2 linked regions of the Pelodiscus sinensis genome follow. The protein of the gene in region 2 interacts with the protein of the main gene of each other region in a pairwise test. Links are inferred from orthologs where the notes say so. Each region holds a gene or a part of one and is shown on either strand. Other genes may lie near its edges. The genes, in order: C23H1orf174 and PDIK1L.

What was found.
Region 1: the proteins of PDIK1L (region 2) and C23H1orf174 interact in binary tests that used the Homo sapiens proteins (3 or more experiments, as listed by UniProt). The two-hybrid records come from large-scale screens. The link is inferred for Pelodiscus sinensis from reciprocal best matches to the Homo sapiens genes PDIK1L and C1orf174.

Annotation. Positions count from the first base shown.
Region 1 is NC_134733.1:22,080,574-22,089,632, forward strand, and holds the start of C23H1orf174 (UPF0688 protein C1orf174 homolog), read right to left. Parts: upstream 3,738-9,059; 5' UTR 3,613-3,737; coding exon 3,598-3,612; intron 2,474-3,597; coding exon 2,360-2,473; intron 1-2,359.
Region 2 is NC_134735.1:1,688,685-1,697,265, reverse strand, and holds the start of PDIK1L (serine/threonine-protein kinase PDIK1L), read right to left. Parts: upstream 3,721-8,581; 5' UTR 3,594-3,720; intron 2,536-3,593; 5' UTR 2,462-2,535; intron 1,023-2,461; 5' UTR 1,006-1,022; coding exon 721-1,005; intron 1-720.

The sequences.
Region 1 (9,059 bases), on a different chromosome or scaffold from region 2:
GCGCTGGGGTTATGTCTACATTGCGCTCTCTTGAGCAAGAACATATGCAAATAAGGCACGGCAATGAATATTGCCTCATCTCCTTTGCATACTTAATGAGCAGCCATTTTTGCGCAAGGGGCTTTTGTGCAAGAAGGAGCACTCTACACTGCTCCTTGTCCAAAAATCCCCTCTTGCGCAAGAGCTGTTCTGCTGCTTATTTTCAGGCAGAACTGCTCTTGCACAGGAGGGAGCTTTTGCACAAGAAGGAGTAGATTGCTCCTTGTGCAAAAGCCCTTTGCGCAAATGGTGGCTCATTAAATATGCAAATGAGGCACAGCAATATTTATTGCCACTCCTCATTTGCATTTGTTCTTGCACAAGAAAGCGCAATGTAGACGTAACCTGGGTGTTCTCTAGGAGGCTGCAATTTGATCCAAAGCTATACCTCTAAGGAAAACTGATTTTATGATTAACAGTGTGTTTAAAATTTGACAATTACATTTCAGAAAATTACAAACATTTCATCACCATTTGGAATCATCTTCCCATGGAAAACACAGAACTAACATACCAAGTGAATAATTACCAATCATCAGATTGTTTTGACAATGTTATTTACAGTTACCATAACAGAACGAACTTTATACACCTTATTTTATGAGATGACGATTATATAGGAGTTCACAAAACAGTACATAAACACATTGCCCTTTATGCTGTGAACAAATCCAGAAAACTGACTCCACAGTGTATAAACTTGTTCCCTCAATTGTGTTTTTTGCATGGCCATATAATAAAATACAAATATAGTGAGTCTGAAAAGGTATTCTTTAACAAATTCTCAAGCTAAATCTATCACACTGATGCTCATTTTGTAACTGTTTATAGTTAGATGTAAAAAACAAAACAAACCCTTTCTGCATTGTTTAAACAGATTTTAAACCTCAGAAAAAACTGTGGTTCCCACAGCAGCCATAAGTAGGCCACATTGCACATACATTAAAGTAATAATGATTGCTGGGGAGGACACATTATTTCCTAGCAATTAGTGACTTGCTGAAGGAATGGAGTCATTAACCTCACCAGTCATTAACTGACCAGAAAATGCCCTAACTATTCATTATTGCCATTATAAACCACAATACTGTAAGTGAGGAAAAATAAGTTACCACTATAAACTGCAAGATACAACTGCACATTACTAGAGGTTTTTTCCCCATAATTTTTTTAGCCAGTACAGTAACCAACAGGAAGTCAGGATCTCACTTCCAGTGTGTTGCACTATAGTATGCTATTTTCCTTAGAACCATTTCCAAGGTTTTATGATGATAAAAACGTAGACAGTTCAACTGCAGTATAAACATAATATGCAAAAACCTGGTTTTTAGAGTGAAAAGAAAAAGGTGCCACTGCATTTTTTGCAGTTAGGTATTACTGCTTGCATGTTCAAAAAAAACTGCACACCTCTGCCATACCCTGAAGTAACTTGAGGAATTAAATGTAGCTATATCTGATCGGCAGTACCTCTAATTCCTGAGACATCCATATTAACAAGCAGATACATGAACAATCACAGTGATGAATGTTTAATATATCGACATATAGAATATTAATTTCTAATACAAGGCATGTCTGTTAAGCAAGTTTATGTCCATCTATCCTTGCTCTCGGCATAACTATGGCTACGTCTACACTGGCATGATTCTCTGGAAATGCTTTTAACAGAAAAGTTTTCCGTTAAAAGTATTTTCAGAGAAGCACGTCTAGATTGGACGCTTTTCCGCAAAGAAGCCCCGATCACCATTTTTGCGCTCGGGGCTTTTTTGTGGAAAACAAATCTTTGCTGTCTACACTGGCCCTTTTGCGCAAAAGTTTTTCGGAAAAAGACTTTTGCCCGAACGGGAGCGGCATAGTATTTCCGCAAAAGCACTGACAATCTTACATGAGATCGTCAGTGCTTTTCCGGAAAAAGTGGCCAGTCTAGACACAGCCTATGTGTACACTAAGTAACATTTAGTTGTAACCATGTCAGTCCCAGGATATTACCAAGACAAGGTGAGCGAGGTGATCACTTCTGCCGAATGGTCCCTTAACATTTAGCGGTAACATCTAGAACCTTTAACAGACCTGAAAGAAGAGCTCTGTGTGACTCAAAAGCTAGTCTCTCTCACTAACAGAAATTGGTCCAATTAAAAATATTACTTTGCCTCTGTAATAATATAATAAAAACATTTTGCTCAACATATTATTTTGATGGCCTTACTAAAAGTCAAAACATCCCCTAAATAATATTCCAAAGTTAACAGCTCATTGCAAAATGAATGTAAGTAATGTTCTTCAAACAACTCAGGCAGCAAAAGTCACATGTTTTTCCTACCAGACACACTGTTTTTGTAGATTTGCAAAGATCAACCTCTTGAGGAGATGAAAATTGGGTGGCTGCATGGTTTCCACCCTTCTGGCGTGCTGAAGTTGGCACTCCATCTGCAAGCTAAACCAAATGCAATTTTACAATCCAGAAGAGGAAGTGGGGGTTTTGTGACACCTTCAGCAGGAGAAGCATCTCTTCCAGCAACAAGAAATCTCAGAAAATATCATGGTAGGCATCCAAACGGCCATGACAGAGCTCTCCAGAACTGCAGGGTAGAACCCACTCTCCATGTATGTAAGGGGCAGCAGGAGGTTCAAACTCCTCACCACTGGACTGGGACTTGCAAATGGTTAAGACTTGCAGGACACACGGGTAGGAAGCCAGTCTCAGGCAGCGAAAAAGGCCACAGAACCCCACCAGTGCGCAAAGATCGCACCCTGGGGGACTCTGGGAAGGCTCTTGTTAGGGCAGTCTGTGGGGGCAAAGAGCACACCGGGCTCTGGGTGGGAGTGGAGAGGGCCCTCTTTGGGGGAGGCTGGGGCTCTGTGTGATGCAGAGGAGGAACTCTGTGTGGCATGGGGTGGGATACTGGTTAGGGGAGCTCTATGGAGGAAGGGGCACTGGGGGGAGGGCTGGGGTCCCGAGTGGCACAAAGGGGGGGAACCGGTTGGGGGAGCTCTGTTTGGGGCATTTGGGGGAGGGACTGGGGCTTCCTGTAACATGAGGAGGGTAGCTGGTTGGAAGAGCTCTGGGGGGGTCGCTTTGCAGAGGACTAGGGGTCTCTGTTGTGCAAAGGGGTAGCTGGCTGGGGGTATTGGGGATCTTGGGGAGGAGGCTGGCGCGCTGTGGGGTGCAGGGGTGATGCTGGTTGCAAGAGATCTGTGGGTGTGATTCGGGGGAGGCTGGTCGGGGGAGCTGTGTGGGCGCGGGGGGCAGCTGAGGCGGTGGCGCGGGGGGCTGGCTGGAGGCGCCCGGGTGGGTGGATCTTTGGGGTGGCGGGGGCTGTAGCTGTGGGGGGCGCGGGGGTAGCTGGGCGGGGGGAGGCGCAGGGGGCGCTCTGCAGGGGCGGCCGTTTGGAGGCGCTGCGGGGGGCGGGGTCTCCGCGCGCGCAGGGCTGGGGGAGGGGCTCCGTGCGGGGTAGACGGTTGGGGGAGCTGGGGGGGATTGTGAGGGTCCGTGTGGCGCTGGGGGGGGGGGGGGGAGCTCTGACCGGGCAGCCCCAAGGCAGCTCGGCCCTTCCTCACCTTTCGGGTCCTCATCGGACGCCGAGGAAGGGGCGGCTCTGGGCGAGCCCCGCTCCCGCTCCCGCTGCCTTCCCTGCCCCGGCCGCTGCTCGTCACCGCATTCCCCGCGCCCGCACCGCCCCTCACGCAGCGGCCGCCATTTTTGTGCGGGGCGCTCAGAACTTAAGGAGCGGGCGCCATCGTTGTGCGGGGCGCTCAGAACGTAAGGAGCGGGCCGGGGCCAGACACGCAGGGAGCGGGCGCCATCTTTGTGCGGGGCGCTCAGCACGTAAGGAGCGGGCCGAGGCCAGACATGCAGGGAGCGGGCGCCATCTTTGTGCGGGGCGCTCAGAACGTAAGGAGCGGGCCGAGGACCAGACACGCAGGGAGCGGGCGTCATCTTTGTGCGGGGCACGCACGAGGGGCGGGCCAACCGTCAGCGCCATCTTTGTGCGGGGCACCGCCCCGAGCACGTGGGGGCCGAGGGCTCTTAGCCCCAGGGTGGGTGCCGCTCGCAGGTGCTAAGGGGCCTGCAGTGTCGGGGTGGGACATTGGGGTGCAGAGAGGGGGATGTGGCAGGGTAACAGCCCTTAACCTTCAGGGTCCCTGGCAGGCTCCTGGTACCTGTGCCGGCTGCAAAGCTGCTCCCAGCGCCCACCGGCTCCCCGGGAGCCGCCCGCCCCAGCGCTGCTGCCTGAGCCGCTGGGCACGTTGACTGGGTTACGCGCATTTGCACATGGCTGGCCACAGACCGGTCACTAACAGTGGAAGCTGAGATGCAGGGAGCTAAGTGGGCAGCCTGTGGCCCATGGGGCTATAAGCAGCCCACCGGGCTCTGCGTGGCCCACAAAGCGTTTGGTTCACCGTGGCCCACGAGCAGAGTTGTCACATGCCACTGCTTTCTGTCCACCTATTTTTTTCATACAGCTGGCTACTAAAGTGCCACGCAGTAAAGAACGGGCACTGTGAAGGGAAGTGCGGGCTGACTGGACACACTTGACTGGAGAGCTGTGCTCCCTCTGCGTCCCATCACAGCGGTGCTACGGTTTAGTCAACACATGCTGCAAATTGAAGGTGTGCAAGCACAGTGAGCAAAAGTACCCTATCCTGGGAGACCGTCTTGGTTACCACAATCTTGTGGCCCACTGAGATGAAAGACGGCCACTCATGCAGCTCGCTCACTAGCCTAGGTAGACTATTGCTGCTTTATAGCCTTAGACAGCCATTGTCAACACACCACATGTCAAACTTTGCAAAGTAAATAGCCACAAATCACACTCCAACTAAGTTCTCAAGAAGCAATTTCCTTCCTTTCCCTAGCTGTACATTTTCATTATCGTTGGAAATTTTTTTCATCCTTTTCTATTATGGTGAAATCAATGTTTACTGAGGGATCAGTGTTCCCTGTAATCTGTGAGCTTGTGCGGCCACTCAGGAGAGAGTCAAGGGCTGCCCGCTGATTAGCAGAACATCCAGAGCTAAGTTTTTTGTTTCTAGTAGTGGTGCATGTTCGCACATGCCTCAGGGCACATACAATTTATTCTGCACATGGATGGAAAAGATTACAGGGAACATTGCTGATGCTTATCCATAAAAATCTTGTTTTCTCCAAGCCTAATTATGTGCACGCTCATGGAGGAATTCTCCACAACTGTTTCCATGGCTGGGAGGAGAGATCATGCCCAGAGAGGTCACTATTGCCAATTACAAGCTTTACGAAATCATGAGGCAGCCTCACCTACTCAAAAAAAAAAAATCATGAGATTGGCTTAAAAATAATGAGATTTCATAGATAATGATTTGGCTGTTTGAGAAGATATTTGATACCTTCCTCAATGTTGCCATCTTGTGGGAGTTCTGAAAGGATGGGTACTGCTCACAAAGCAACAGTTCTTGGAGTTATGGCAGTTTGTGGGAATCACAGCTTTAATTTAAAGTATAGTAAATGTCTAGTTCCTTGTGGTTAGAATCTAAGGGTATTCGAACTAGGGTGGCTAATGCAGGCATTCAAATGAAGCCTAGGATTTAAATGTAGACTTGCAAATGAAGCCTGGCTAATGTAGGCTTTCAAATGAAGCCTGGGATTTAAATATCCTGGGCTTTATTTTCATGTTCCTGGGCGCTGCCATTTTTAAATGCCCCGTAGTTTGAACTCCCTGCCCGCGGCTACACGCGGTACGGACTAGGTAGTTCGAATTAAAGCTCCTAATTCGAACTACCATTACTCCTCATTGCTTTACTTCGAACTACCTAGTCCGTGCCTACATTTGCAAGCTCGAATGCCTACATTAGCCACCCTAGTTTGAACTAGGGTGACAGTGTAGACATACCCATAGATTCATAGAGCTGGAAGAGACCTCAGGAGGTCATCAAGACCAGCCCCCTGCCCAAGGCAGGACCAATCCCAAATAAATCAACCTAGCCAGGGCTTTGTCAAGCCAAGACTTAAAAACCTCTAGGGATGGAGATTCCACCACTTCCCTAGGTAACCCATTCCAGTGCTTCACCACCCTCCTAGTGAAATAATTTTTCCTAATATCCAACCTAGATGTCTCCCACTGTAACTTGAGACCATTGCTCCTTGTTCTGCCATCCATCACTATTGAGAACAGCCTTTCTCTAGGCTCTTTGGAACCTCCCTTCAGGAAGTTGAGGGCTGCTCTCAAATCCCCCCTCACTCTTCGCTTCTGCAGACTGAACAAACCCAACTTCCTCAGTCTCTCCTCATAGGTCATGTGCTCCAGCCCCCTAATCATTTTGGTCACTCTCCGCTGGACCCTCTCCAATGCGTCCACATCCTTCCTGTACTTGGGGGCCCAGAACTGGACACAATACTCCAGATGTGGCCTCACCAGAGCTGAATAAAGGGGAAGAATCACTTCTCTGGATCTGCTGGAAATGCTCCTCTTAATGCAAGCTAATATGCCATTAGCCTTGGCTACAAGGGCACACAGTTGACTCATATCCAGCTTCTCGTCCACTGTAATTCCCAAGTCCTCTTCTGTAGAACTGCTACTTAGCCATTCAGTCCCCAGCCTGTAACAATGCTTGGGATTCTTCTGTCCCAAGTGCAGGACTCTACACTTGTTCTTGTTGAACCTCATCAGATTTCTTGTGGCCCAATCCTCTAATCTGTCCAGGTCACCCTATTCCTGCCTTCCAGCATATCTACCTCTCCCCCTACCTTAGTGTCATCTGCAAACTTGCTGAGGATGCAATCCATCCCCTCATCCAGGTCATTAATAAAGATATTGAACAAAACCGGTCCTAGAACCGATCCTTGGGGCACTCCATTAGAAACTGACCGCCAACCTGACATTGAGCCATTGATCACTACCCACTAGACCCGACAGTCTAGCCAGCTTTCTATCCATTTTACAGTCCATTTAGCCAATCCATAGGTTTCAAGGTTGTGGAGACAAGCTTGAAAATGTGACCCCTAAATAAGCTCAGAGCACAGAAAGCAAAAAGAACCCAACCTTTATTGTTTTAGAAAAATGCCATGATTTTAAATTAAACTTATATGTCCTGGGGGGCATACATGTTGTTTGAATACCTGACATTTCAATATTATGGCTAATGCTTTACATAGAATCCCCTTTCTGAAAGCAAGGAGGATCAAAAGTTTGCAGACAAACAAAACAATTATATTTTGGGAGATGATTTAAGGCGTAACAAGAGATTTAAAGGGGATATAATAGTAAAAGGGCAGATTTCTTCTCTGTCTTCTGGGTTCCTAGAAGGGATGTGAAAGGTTAACTGGTTAACCAGTAATCGTCACCCTTAATGGATGATGCTTATGAGTTCCGTTAACTGGTGAGGGCTGGAGCAGCCCTGTTCCTGGTGGGCCCCGTGTGTCACAGGCAGAGGTTGCCCTGGGCTTCCGGAGCAGCCCCTGTCTGCAGCAGGGCTGGAGCGGCACCCCCCTCCCCTATAGGCAGGGGTTGCTCAGGCCAGGCTGGAGCAGCCCCTGCCTGTGGCGGGAGGTGAGGGGGATGGGAGAGGGACTGAATGGGTGCTTCATCCCAGCTGAGCTGGAGCACCCTTAATTGGTTAACTGGTTAAACTTCATGTTTAACAGGTTAACCAATTAAATGGGTCTCAGAGGGGTAGCTGTGTTAGTCTGTAACTTTAAAAACAATTTTTTTTAAAAAAAGAGTTGTCCTGTGGCATCTTAGGTCATGTCCAGACTACCTCCCTCTTTCGAAAGAGGGATGTAAATTAGACATATCGAAATTGCAAATGAAGTTGGGATTGAATTTCCTGCACTTCATTTGCATAATGGCGGCCACATGTTCTTTCAAAAAAGAGCTTTTCGAAAGTGAAACCGCCGACTAGATGCGGTTTTTTCGTATCCCCCCCTTTTCCAAAAGATCCTGTACTCCTCAGAAAATGAGGTTTACAGGATCTTTTGAAAAAGGGTTTTTTTCCCGAAAGAACCGCGTCTAGATGGCGATTTCATTTTCAAAAAGCCCTTTTTCGAAAGTACACGTGGCCGCCATTATGCAAATGAAGCATGGGAAATTCAAATCCCAGCTTCATTTGCAATTTTGATCTGTCTAATTTACATCCCTCTTTCGAAAGAGGGATGTAGTCTAGACATAGCCTTAGAGACTAACAAATATGTATAGATAGTATCATGAGTTTTGTGAGCAAAACCCACTTCTTCAGATGAAATGTCTCAAGATCATTTCATCTGAAGAAGTGGGTTGTGCCCATGAAAGCTCATGATACTACCTATATATATTTGTTAGTCTCTAAGGAGCCACAGGACTACTCGTTTTTTAAAAGTGGCAATTAAACAGGATTTTACATCCCTAGTCTCTACTGCACATTTTGTATGTGGAACAGCAATTGATGCTAATTATGAATAAAAATTCATTGGAGGCTGGCAGTGCAGCTGGGAGTGGAGAATTTTGCCCAGAGACAGGACTATGTTAAAATCACCTTTTTATAAAAATGAAGAATCTTGCTTTATGTTGCTCCCCAGTGGGCTGATGTTTCGAAAAACACAAATTTTGCCTTCTCGCTCCATCAGTTACAAACATTACAGATCCTTTTCCCTTCCCACAGCACCTCCTTTCTGTAACTGTTGTTTGATTTATAATATGTGCCATTAGGGACTTATTCAGATTTGCCTGAGTTCATTTTTGCACCCCACAGGGAACAAAGTATGTTAGTAACTCAAATCTGTTTAACTTTGAGGATTCCAGTGACACCAATAATATGAGATGAATTGATGTGAAGCAAGGAATGCAACACCTACATTGAAGTATGTAGTTATTTAAAAAATAATAATTATTTTATCATTTTGAGTAATTATTGGTATCTGTGGTTTGTAACTGACTATGTTTCCATGCCCAGAGCACATGTGCTGGGTAACAGTTGGAGCCCTATCCAAAGTCCACTTAAGTCTATGCAAGGACTCCCCATTGACTTCAGTGAGTTCTGGATTCATACTAAATTACACATCTGCTTTTTCT
Region 2 (8,581 bases):
GATGGGGCCTAAGTCGCTACTGAGCTCTACTATAATATTTAATAAAAAGGACCTGTCCTGGATTTAAAAACAGGAATGGGTGTTTTACATATTTGATCAGCTCTATACAGATTCTGATCTTTAAAAGCAATTGATCTTTAAAGTGATAACATATGACACACACACACACACACACACACACAGAGTAATAATTTGCTGTGTATTCACTGGATGTGCTAGTCACTCAGCAAAGAGTGACATGTATACAGAGAGAACTCCCACCAGTCACAGTGGATACATTCCTGGCACCACTGCAAATGGCGAAATCTGTGAATACCAGGGGCACTGGCTGCTACAGGGAATTCCCCAATACGAGTTTCCTGCAGCTCCTGGCCACTGCTGTGAGTTCAGGAGCCTTGGACTACTCACTGCTTAATACATCAGAAATCGATCAGAGCCAATGTAAAGACTTTTGCCCAGAACATGCAACAGTGTAAATTTTTCATTTCCTTAAATTGTCAGTGTTATATAATTTTACTGGTGTGACTTTATTAAGTCTGCTAGAGTTGCATGTCTATGAATCCGAAAATCCAGGGAATTCTGTTTAGCAGATGGTATTCAAACATCTAGAGACCTCATACCATCATTTACACTGTATGAAGAAAGAAGCAGGCCAAATCTTCCCCCTTTTCCTGTTCAGCTACAGATCCCATAAAATTATTCCCATCCTCCTTCGCATACCTGTAAATAGAGGGAAGAACTAGAACCATGTGACATCTTCTGTACCATACCATCTTTCTGCAAGATGCACTCCTCCAGATGGATAACATTTGGATGCTGGCTCTTGATACTACTAAGTGCCCAGAACTCACGTAACGCTAGTTCCACATTCTCTGGAGCATGGCACCGAATTTTTTTCACTGCAACCCGTGCAGAGGTCTTCCTGACAAGTGCTTCATACACCACACCGTAACTACCACGTCCAACCTCCCGTATTAGATCGTACTTTGGCTGGCTACTCACCATCTTCAAGGCCAAGGGTTCTGGGGAGGGGGGAAAAAAACATCACATGACAAAAAATCCTATGAATAATGACTGATCTGCTTTTCCTCTCTGAATCAGTTAATTAAGTATCATTTGGGCTAATCACTGTGCTTAAAATCAGGATTCCATTCAATAAACTTAAATAAGATTGTAATGAGCCATTATTTTCAGATGTTACCAATATGAAGAAGCATTAAACTTGTTCAGTAAAGCCACAATTAACGCCAAGAAGGATTTTCAAGTGTTACACTTTAGGCTAGTGATATAATGTTAGCCAGCATTTATCATAACATGTTCACAGTTCAAGCCCACAACATTTCTAGCTTTCACTTGCATTAGGTCAGGCTAAAACTGTTACATCTCACAGCATCTTTTACTTTAACATTTTGTTCAGTATCAGTGGAGTACAGTGCTTCCTTTCCCCACATTTTATAGCATTTTCCAGTAAAGGTACTAGCAGAAGCACATACTTAGTGGATCTTACGCACTGTTTCAAACTACATTAAGTGGAAAGTCACAGACAGCATGGGTAAATGTTTTATGGTGTAGTTTATTAAATGGTTTTCTAGTACCAAGGTAAAGGAGTATTTAAAAAATGTTTTTAATTTATAAAAATTAAATACAATCTGAACAGTCAGTTTAAACTGGGCAAGATATTTAAAAACATTCTACATTGTTTACATTCAAATTCTAGTTTCATTATGAAAGGAAGGAGGAAGGACTAAAACTAGTATGTTCATATTTTAAAAAATGGGAACATACCCAAGATCTTCTTTGCAAGGTTACATACCAGAAAATACAACATTACTCACTAATGCAACCAAGCCAGAAAGGAACACTAAATAGACAGAAAATAAACTTTGGCTATCATCACTGGCCAAGTGGAATGACTTGCAAAAAAACAAAGGACTAAATAGAAAACGAGCAAGTCAGGGTATTAGAATGAAAATGATTTTAGAAGTTAGTATCGCAGGCAAGTTGTATTTACCACAGGAAACCATTCACTAAACACTACTTCGCTGAAGCAAAACTATCAATCAACTTTCAAGTACCTACAAAGCGTGCACCATAAAAGAAATAATGGATATCCGTCTCATGACACCATTAGTGCAGATATATGGAGATGTGGCAGCAACATCTTTTATGTGAGTTTACAATTCTGAATGCATTTAAATATAAATTCCCCACAGAAATGCCAGTACAACGTGAGATTCAGATAGTAATATTTATTCAACCTGCTCCTATATTGTGATATAAGCATATGGAGAACAGTGCAGACTAAATGCTAAGGTAAATTAACAAGAACATACAAAAACAAAGGCACTCGCACACAAAAGAGGCATTAAGTATGGATAGTCAAAAAACTACATACAATTAGTGTAGTTGTGAAAGAAAGCTATGGTCATTGCAGGCTCAAACAGTAGGGAGCACAATTTACCTTTGAAACATCAGTTTACACAGAAGCAGGTCTATAGGTAAATAAAAGGCTGCCACCTGTCCTTCCCCATTGTCCTAAAGAGTTGGGGGGGGGGGGGGGGGAAGAGATTTCCAAATTCAACAAGCCCCTCCTCTCACAAGGCATCAGAGCCTATACAATAATCTAATCTAAGCAAACCTCACATCCCAGAAGACAGACTGTGAAGAGGGGTAACTGTTAGTCTGTTTCAGCAAACACAAGGAAGTCCTGTCGCACCTTAAAGACTAACCCATTTATTTGGGCATAAGCTTTCCATGCGCTTAAGCCCACTCTGTCAGATTCCTAAATAAGCAGTAACCCAGTTAACCATCAGCGGTGAGGTTAACAGAAATGATGGTGAAAACTGACCCACACAGGAAACCCCAAAACGTGCCCGTTCCATGGTTCTGGTTCTTTAGGCTATAGGAGCAGGGCCTGGACATTGATTGGCTTTGGGGGGGGTAGAAGGCTCCCCCTGTATATTTTGTAGTGGCACATTTCACAGTTTCTACCCCGCTCCTCCAGGAGGGCTCTCGGCACAGAGCAGCAGACCCCTAAAGGAAGGGGGTGCTGAGGGACTGGTGGCTTAAATGACTTTTACTGAGGTGTCTCCAGCCCATGGGCTGCCCCAACATTTAAATCAAGTCCTGGAAAAAATAGGGGGGGGGGGGAGAGTGGCGCGTTATACTGCACCCCCCCCCATGAGCAGGGTTCCAGGCCAGGCCTCCAGTCCTCCCTGGAGGCCAGAGCTGCCCCCCCCTCCGGGACAAGGGGGGAGCATCAGGAAAATCCCCCCCCCAGCAGGCGAGGCCCCACAAACCAGGCACCAGCAGGTGAGGCCTCCCCCCCCAACCCCCCTTTTCTCCTCAGCACAGCCCCGCCCCATCCTCTCTCCTCAGCCCCGCCCCCCCAGCCCACCCCCCTTCTCCTCAGCCCAGCCCCGCCCCCACCCCATCCGTCCCCCTCAGCCCCGCCCCCCCAGTCCCCTCCCTCAGCTTGACAGCGGGGGACGCAGCTTCCCCTCCCGCCAGGGTTTCCCTCGCGCCAGGGGCCCCTCCCCTCAGGCCGCGCTGCAGCCCCGGGCCCGCGGGGCTCCCGGCCGCCTCCGCGTTACCTCAGCAGCGCCGCGCGCGCTCCTCCCGGCCGCCATTATAGGGTTCTCTTCCCCCCCTCCCCCACTCCGGGCGCCGACACACCCCCCTCCGCGCGCCCCCGCCGCCGCCGGGGCTCCCCTCCCGCGCGCGCGCCGCCCTGGCCGCTTCCCCATTGGCTGAAAGGGCGGGCGAGCCCCCGCGCCTGCTTTGTGGCGCGCGCCGCCGCTTCTGATTGGCCGGGGCCGGATGCGCACGGGGCGGGACTTTCCCGGGGAGCTCGCGCCTCTGTTTGCCGCGTGGGATGCTCCCCCTCGGTTCCATGCGTGGGAGGGGGGAGGGGAAGGATGCACCATGGGTGCAGCTCCCAGAGTGGCCCGGCAATGAGGCTGCCCCATTTAAAGCAGCTGGAATGGGGGGAGGCGGGTTCGTGTAGCCCCCGGTAGGATGCAGTGGGGGGTGCTGCGCCATGGATGCAGCTCAAATGGGGGGGGGGGGCACCTCGCGCAGCTGGGAGAGGGGGGCGGGGGCTGTGCGGCCACGCAGCTCGTATCAACACCCCAGGTGCAAACCCAACGTGCAGCCCTCTTCGGTCGTAATGGGTTGAATTGCACAGGACTGGCCCGAGCCCTCCCCCACCCACTTCCCCCAGGGGACGCTGCTGCCTCCTGCTTGCTGCAGCCCCCCTGTGCAAACACCTACCGTGCCTGTCCCTCCTAGCTGCTGAGTGTCCTGCTGAATTTTAAGGCATTTCTCATTTTTTTATCGTCCGCAATTAGATCTTTGTCATTACAAAATCATAATTTCGCTTTTTTTAAAAAAAACAAAGCAGCCCCCATTAGACTGTCGCTTATTGGTTGCCACCCAGGGAGGAGGACTGCACCTTTTGTTATCCCTTGTCACTGTGTGATGGGGACATGCCTTTTAGGGAACTGCAAGCACGTTGAAGGATGCAAGCATTTGGTAAGATCCTTCCCCCCCTCTTGTCTAGAGGATGGAGGGCTATTGGTATCTTCCCTTAAAGGGACATGTCTGCATTTTTTCCCTGCTGGGAAGTGTGTGGACACACTCCCTGACTATGTGGTGTCTCTCTCATACTAGCCACTGCAAGACATGCAGTTCAGAAGCTATGGCAGCCACCTGAGGCCCCATCTTCTTGATCCCAAATCAATGTGGGAGCAAAGGCACCACTTGCACATACATGTTTAGTGCCCCTGGACTTCATAGCACAAGACGGTCAGGTGTCAATCTTCCTATAACACTCTCACATGGACTGGGCCAGGGATCAGTGTTCATTGCACACACCCACAACTCACACCCATTAACATTCAGACACACTCACACCCATTAACATTCTCAAGCACCTGCCTAGGAAAAACAGTGGAAGGGCCCTGCACCGAGGTCCCAGTATGGACAGTCTAGTACAGAGTACAGGGTGCCCACTTTTATTGTGTGGAAGTAACATCTTACTCTTTAGATTTTTTTTTAACTTTTTTTTTGCCGTAAGATGAAGCCTGTCTGATTAACTCAGTCAGCATTTATTTTGTGTGGTATGTTAATTTGGCCGTTAGGCTCGCAATAGTAGCTATCAGACAGTATCAGTGCATTGATGGCATTAAGGGAGGCAGAAAGAGTGTACAATAGAGATCGGATAATTCCCTAATCTAGTTAAGCCACACTCTGTCCCTCCACATTTGCCACTGTACTGTTCGAGTCTATTGATGGGGAGAGTTAGGTAGCCAATGCTGAAAAGGGGTTCATGTTGCAGCAGTCACTTCATAATCTATCTGTATGCAGGTGTTTAAGAGATCACACTCGATGAAGAGAGATTAAAAAGACTGGGATTTTCAGTTTAGAAAAGGGGAGACTAAGGGGGGATAGGACAGAGGTCTATACAATCATGACAGATATGGAGAAACAAATAAGGAAAAGTTATTTTCTTGTTCCCATAACATAAGAACTAGGGGTCACCAAAAGAAATCAATAGGCAGCAGGTTTAAAACAAACAAAAGGAAGTTTTTCTTCACTCAGCGCACAGTCAACCTGTGGAACTCCTCGCCAGAAGATGTGGTGAAGACTAGGACTTTAACAGGGTTAAAAAAAGAATTAGATAAATTCATGGAGGTTAGGCCCATTGGTGGCTGTTAGCCAGGACGGGTAGGGATGGTGCCCCTGGCCTGTTTGTCAAAGGCTGGGAATGGGTGATGGGAGAGGGATCACTTCATGGTTCTCTGTTCTGTTCCCTCCCTCTGGGGCCCCTGGCACTGGCTACTGTTGGCTGCCAGGACACTGAGCTGGATGGACCTTTAATCTGAGCCAGTCTGGGCATTTTTATCTTCTTACGTTATTTTAAGGGTACATTTATAAATGGTTTGTACAATTGCACCTACCACCAATGAACTCAGCAGCCATCCACCTACTCATCACATTGACATATTTGCAGCATCTATCAGTAAAGTATTGACCCGATATAAACGATAACGACACCCTTGCCATAAAGTATAAGCAAGCATTCTGAGCTTTAACTTCAATGGGACAGAGGGCTGGGCGGGAGTTTGCAACTGTAAGTTAGTCTACTGGTACCAGTAATAAGGAAATACTGTAAATCTTCAGCTAGTGCCCTTTTCAGCACTGCAGGTTCCCAGAGTGAGACTGTATTGACATCTAGTGGCCAAGTGGATTACAGGCAGGCCCTTCAATTGCAAAAGGGGAAGATCTTAAATTGCCAATCTCCTAGAACTGGAAGGGACCTTGAAAGGTCATCGAGTCCAGTCCCCTGCCCTCACAGCAGGACCAAGTACCACCCTGATGAATTTTTGCCCCAAATGGCCTCCACAAGGATTAAACTCACCACCCTGGGTTTAGCAGGCCAATGCTCAAACCACTGAGCTATCCCTCCCTTAAGTCAACTCTTTGTGTTTAATTGTAGCTGTTTGTGGATATTTAAAGTCTTTCAGACTAGCTACTGGGATGGGAGGAGGGATCAAAGCTCATGTGACTAACCCAGGCCAGAAGGGCTTGAGTGGGAGCCGGTGACACCAGGAGGAAGCCTGGGGAACTGTAGCTGGCTCAAAGAAGCAGCTGCAGGTGAGTGAACGGTGCATGGAGCGAGACTGGCTCTTGCAGGGACGGGCTGTGGGGTTACAACCCCCTCTGGGAAGGAAAATTGAGGGCTCCTGAGTCAAATGAGTCATTGCTCTGTGAATTGAACACATGGTTCTGCTCCTCCCGGTACCTGGCGTCTGTCTCTTGGCCACCCTGCAAGTCTTGCTGCCGTGGCTGCATGGCCTTCTCCGTCTCCCCGTGAAGTTCCACCAGCTTCACTGTTGGAGCGGAACTAGTGCAACGCGTGAATGGAGTCCATATCCACCCCCCAGCTCGCTGATGCTGGGTGTATCCGCCCTGCTCAGAGCATCAGCTAACAGCAGGAACTGGCCTGGACTATCTGATCTCTGCCTGCTCTCCCTGGAGCACATCGCTCTGTGCTGCAGTCCCTTTGGCTCACGAAGGGGCTCGTGGGGTCTGTGGTCGTACGGCGCTGTGACTTGGTGCCCGAGGCATGCGGATGGAGCAGCTTCCCCCCAGAGTCGTAGGCAGAAGCTCTTTCTCTGTGTGTGCATGACCCTCTTCATCTCTGCCACGGTTCTGCTGGCGCCAGGGATCCTGCAGAAGAGCCCCGCCCTGCCCGGGAATACCGTGGAATGATCAAAACCCGGATATTTGGATTGACCCAAACACTTTTTCATCTTTTCACTTCGGGACCATTTTTGTGATATTGACGTTTTGTTGCAATTCAGAACTTTAAAGCCACTTTTCCGTGCAGCTGGGACGGGGGCAACTGCTTATTGGTGGGTCTCAGCACAAACTCGTTTCACGTAGGCCACCAAAAAGCCACCCAAGGCGACGACTGTTAATTGCTAACTGCTCGGGCTGGATTAGACTGGGCAAACCCCGGGTGACCAGTTCCCTCTCTCATTACCATTCCCCTGTGACGTCCAGCCCCCTCCCCACCCCAGTCAAATTACTCTGGATGCTTCCTGATCTCAGAAACAGACACCTCTCAGCTTTGCACTCTTCATTCCTGTTGCATTACGCCCAGGCTCGGAGGCCACATGCGGCCCCTGGCTTTCCTGGATCCAGCTCCTGAGGCTAGGGCCTCCCCCCAGCATTGGGGATTCCACGCTGGTGAGGGGTGGATTTGTTTGTTTCTCACTTGTGTGCAGCCCCTGACTGATATTTCTGAGCGTCAGTGGCCCTCGACCCAAAAACGGTTCCCCACCCTGCAGGAATATCATTCTAGCCTGTTACCCTGTGAGTTGACCCTAGCTTTGTCAGCATAGGAGAACTTTAAAGAAGGGACTCGCAGTGTTGGAAGGGGCCGGTGCCCAGTTTAATCCTGGCCATGCTGTCACCAGGAGCTTTTTCCAAAGTCTGCAAATCCTCTGGTAAGGAGGCAGGACTGAGAATAGCCACAGCAGCTGTCAATGGGCACATGTGAAAAATAAAACCCTGGCTTTTGTGGCGCTAGGTGGCACTTTGTGATTTCAGATAAAGGGTCTCGTCTGACCAGGCTCCACAGATGGGGACAAACTCCGCTGCTGAGGTTCCCCCAGGAACAGGCCAACGCGAAAACGTTCCATTGGTGACGAGGTTCAGGCTGCCGGGAGAGAGGCTTCTTCCTAATGACTCATTTAGAAAGTGATAGACAATAAGGCAGAGACTATCTTACTGCCTCTGTAACATCCACGGGCTGCCCACAGCTGGAATACTGCCTGCAGATGTGGTCGCCTCATCTCAAAAAAGATACCTTGGCTTTGGAAAAAGTTCTGAAAAGGGCAACAAAAGTGATTAGGGGGTTGGAACGGCTGCCATATGGCAAGAGATTAAAAAGACTGGGACTTTTCATTTTAGAAAAGAGGAGAGTAGGTTGGGGGGGCGGGGATATGATAGACGTCTATAAAATCATGGCTAGTGTGGAAAAAGTGAATAAGAAAAAGTTATTCACTTGTTC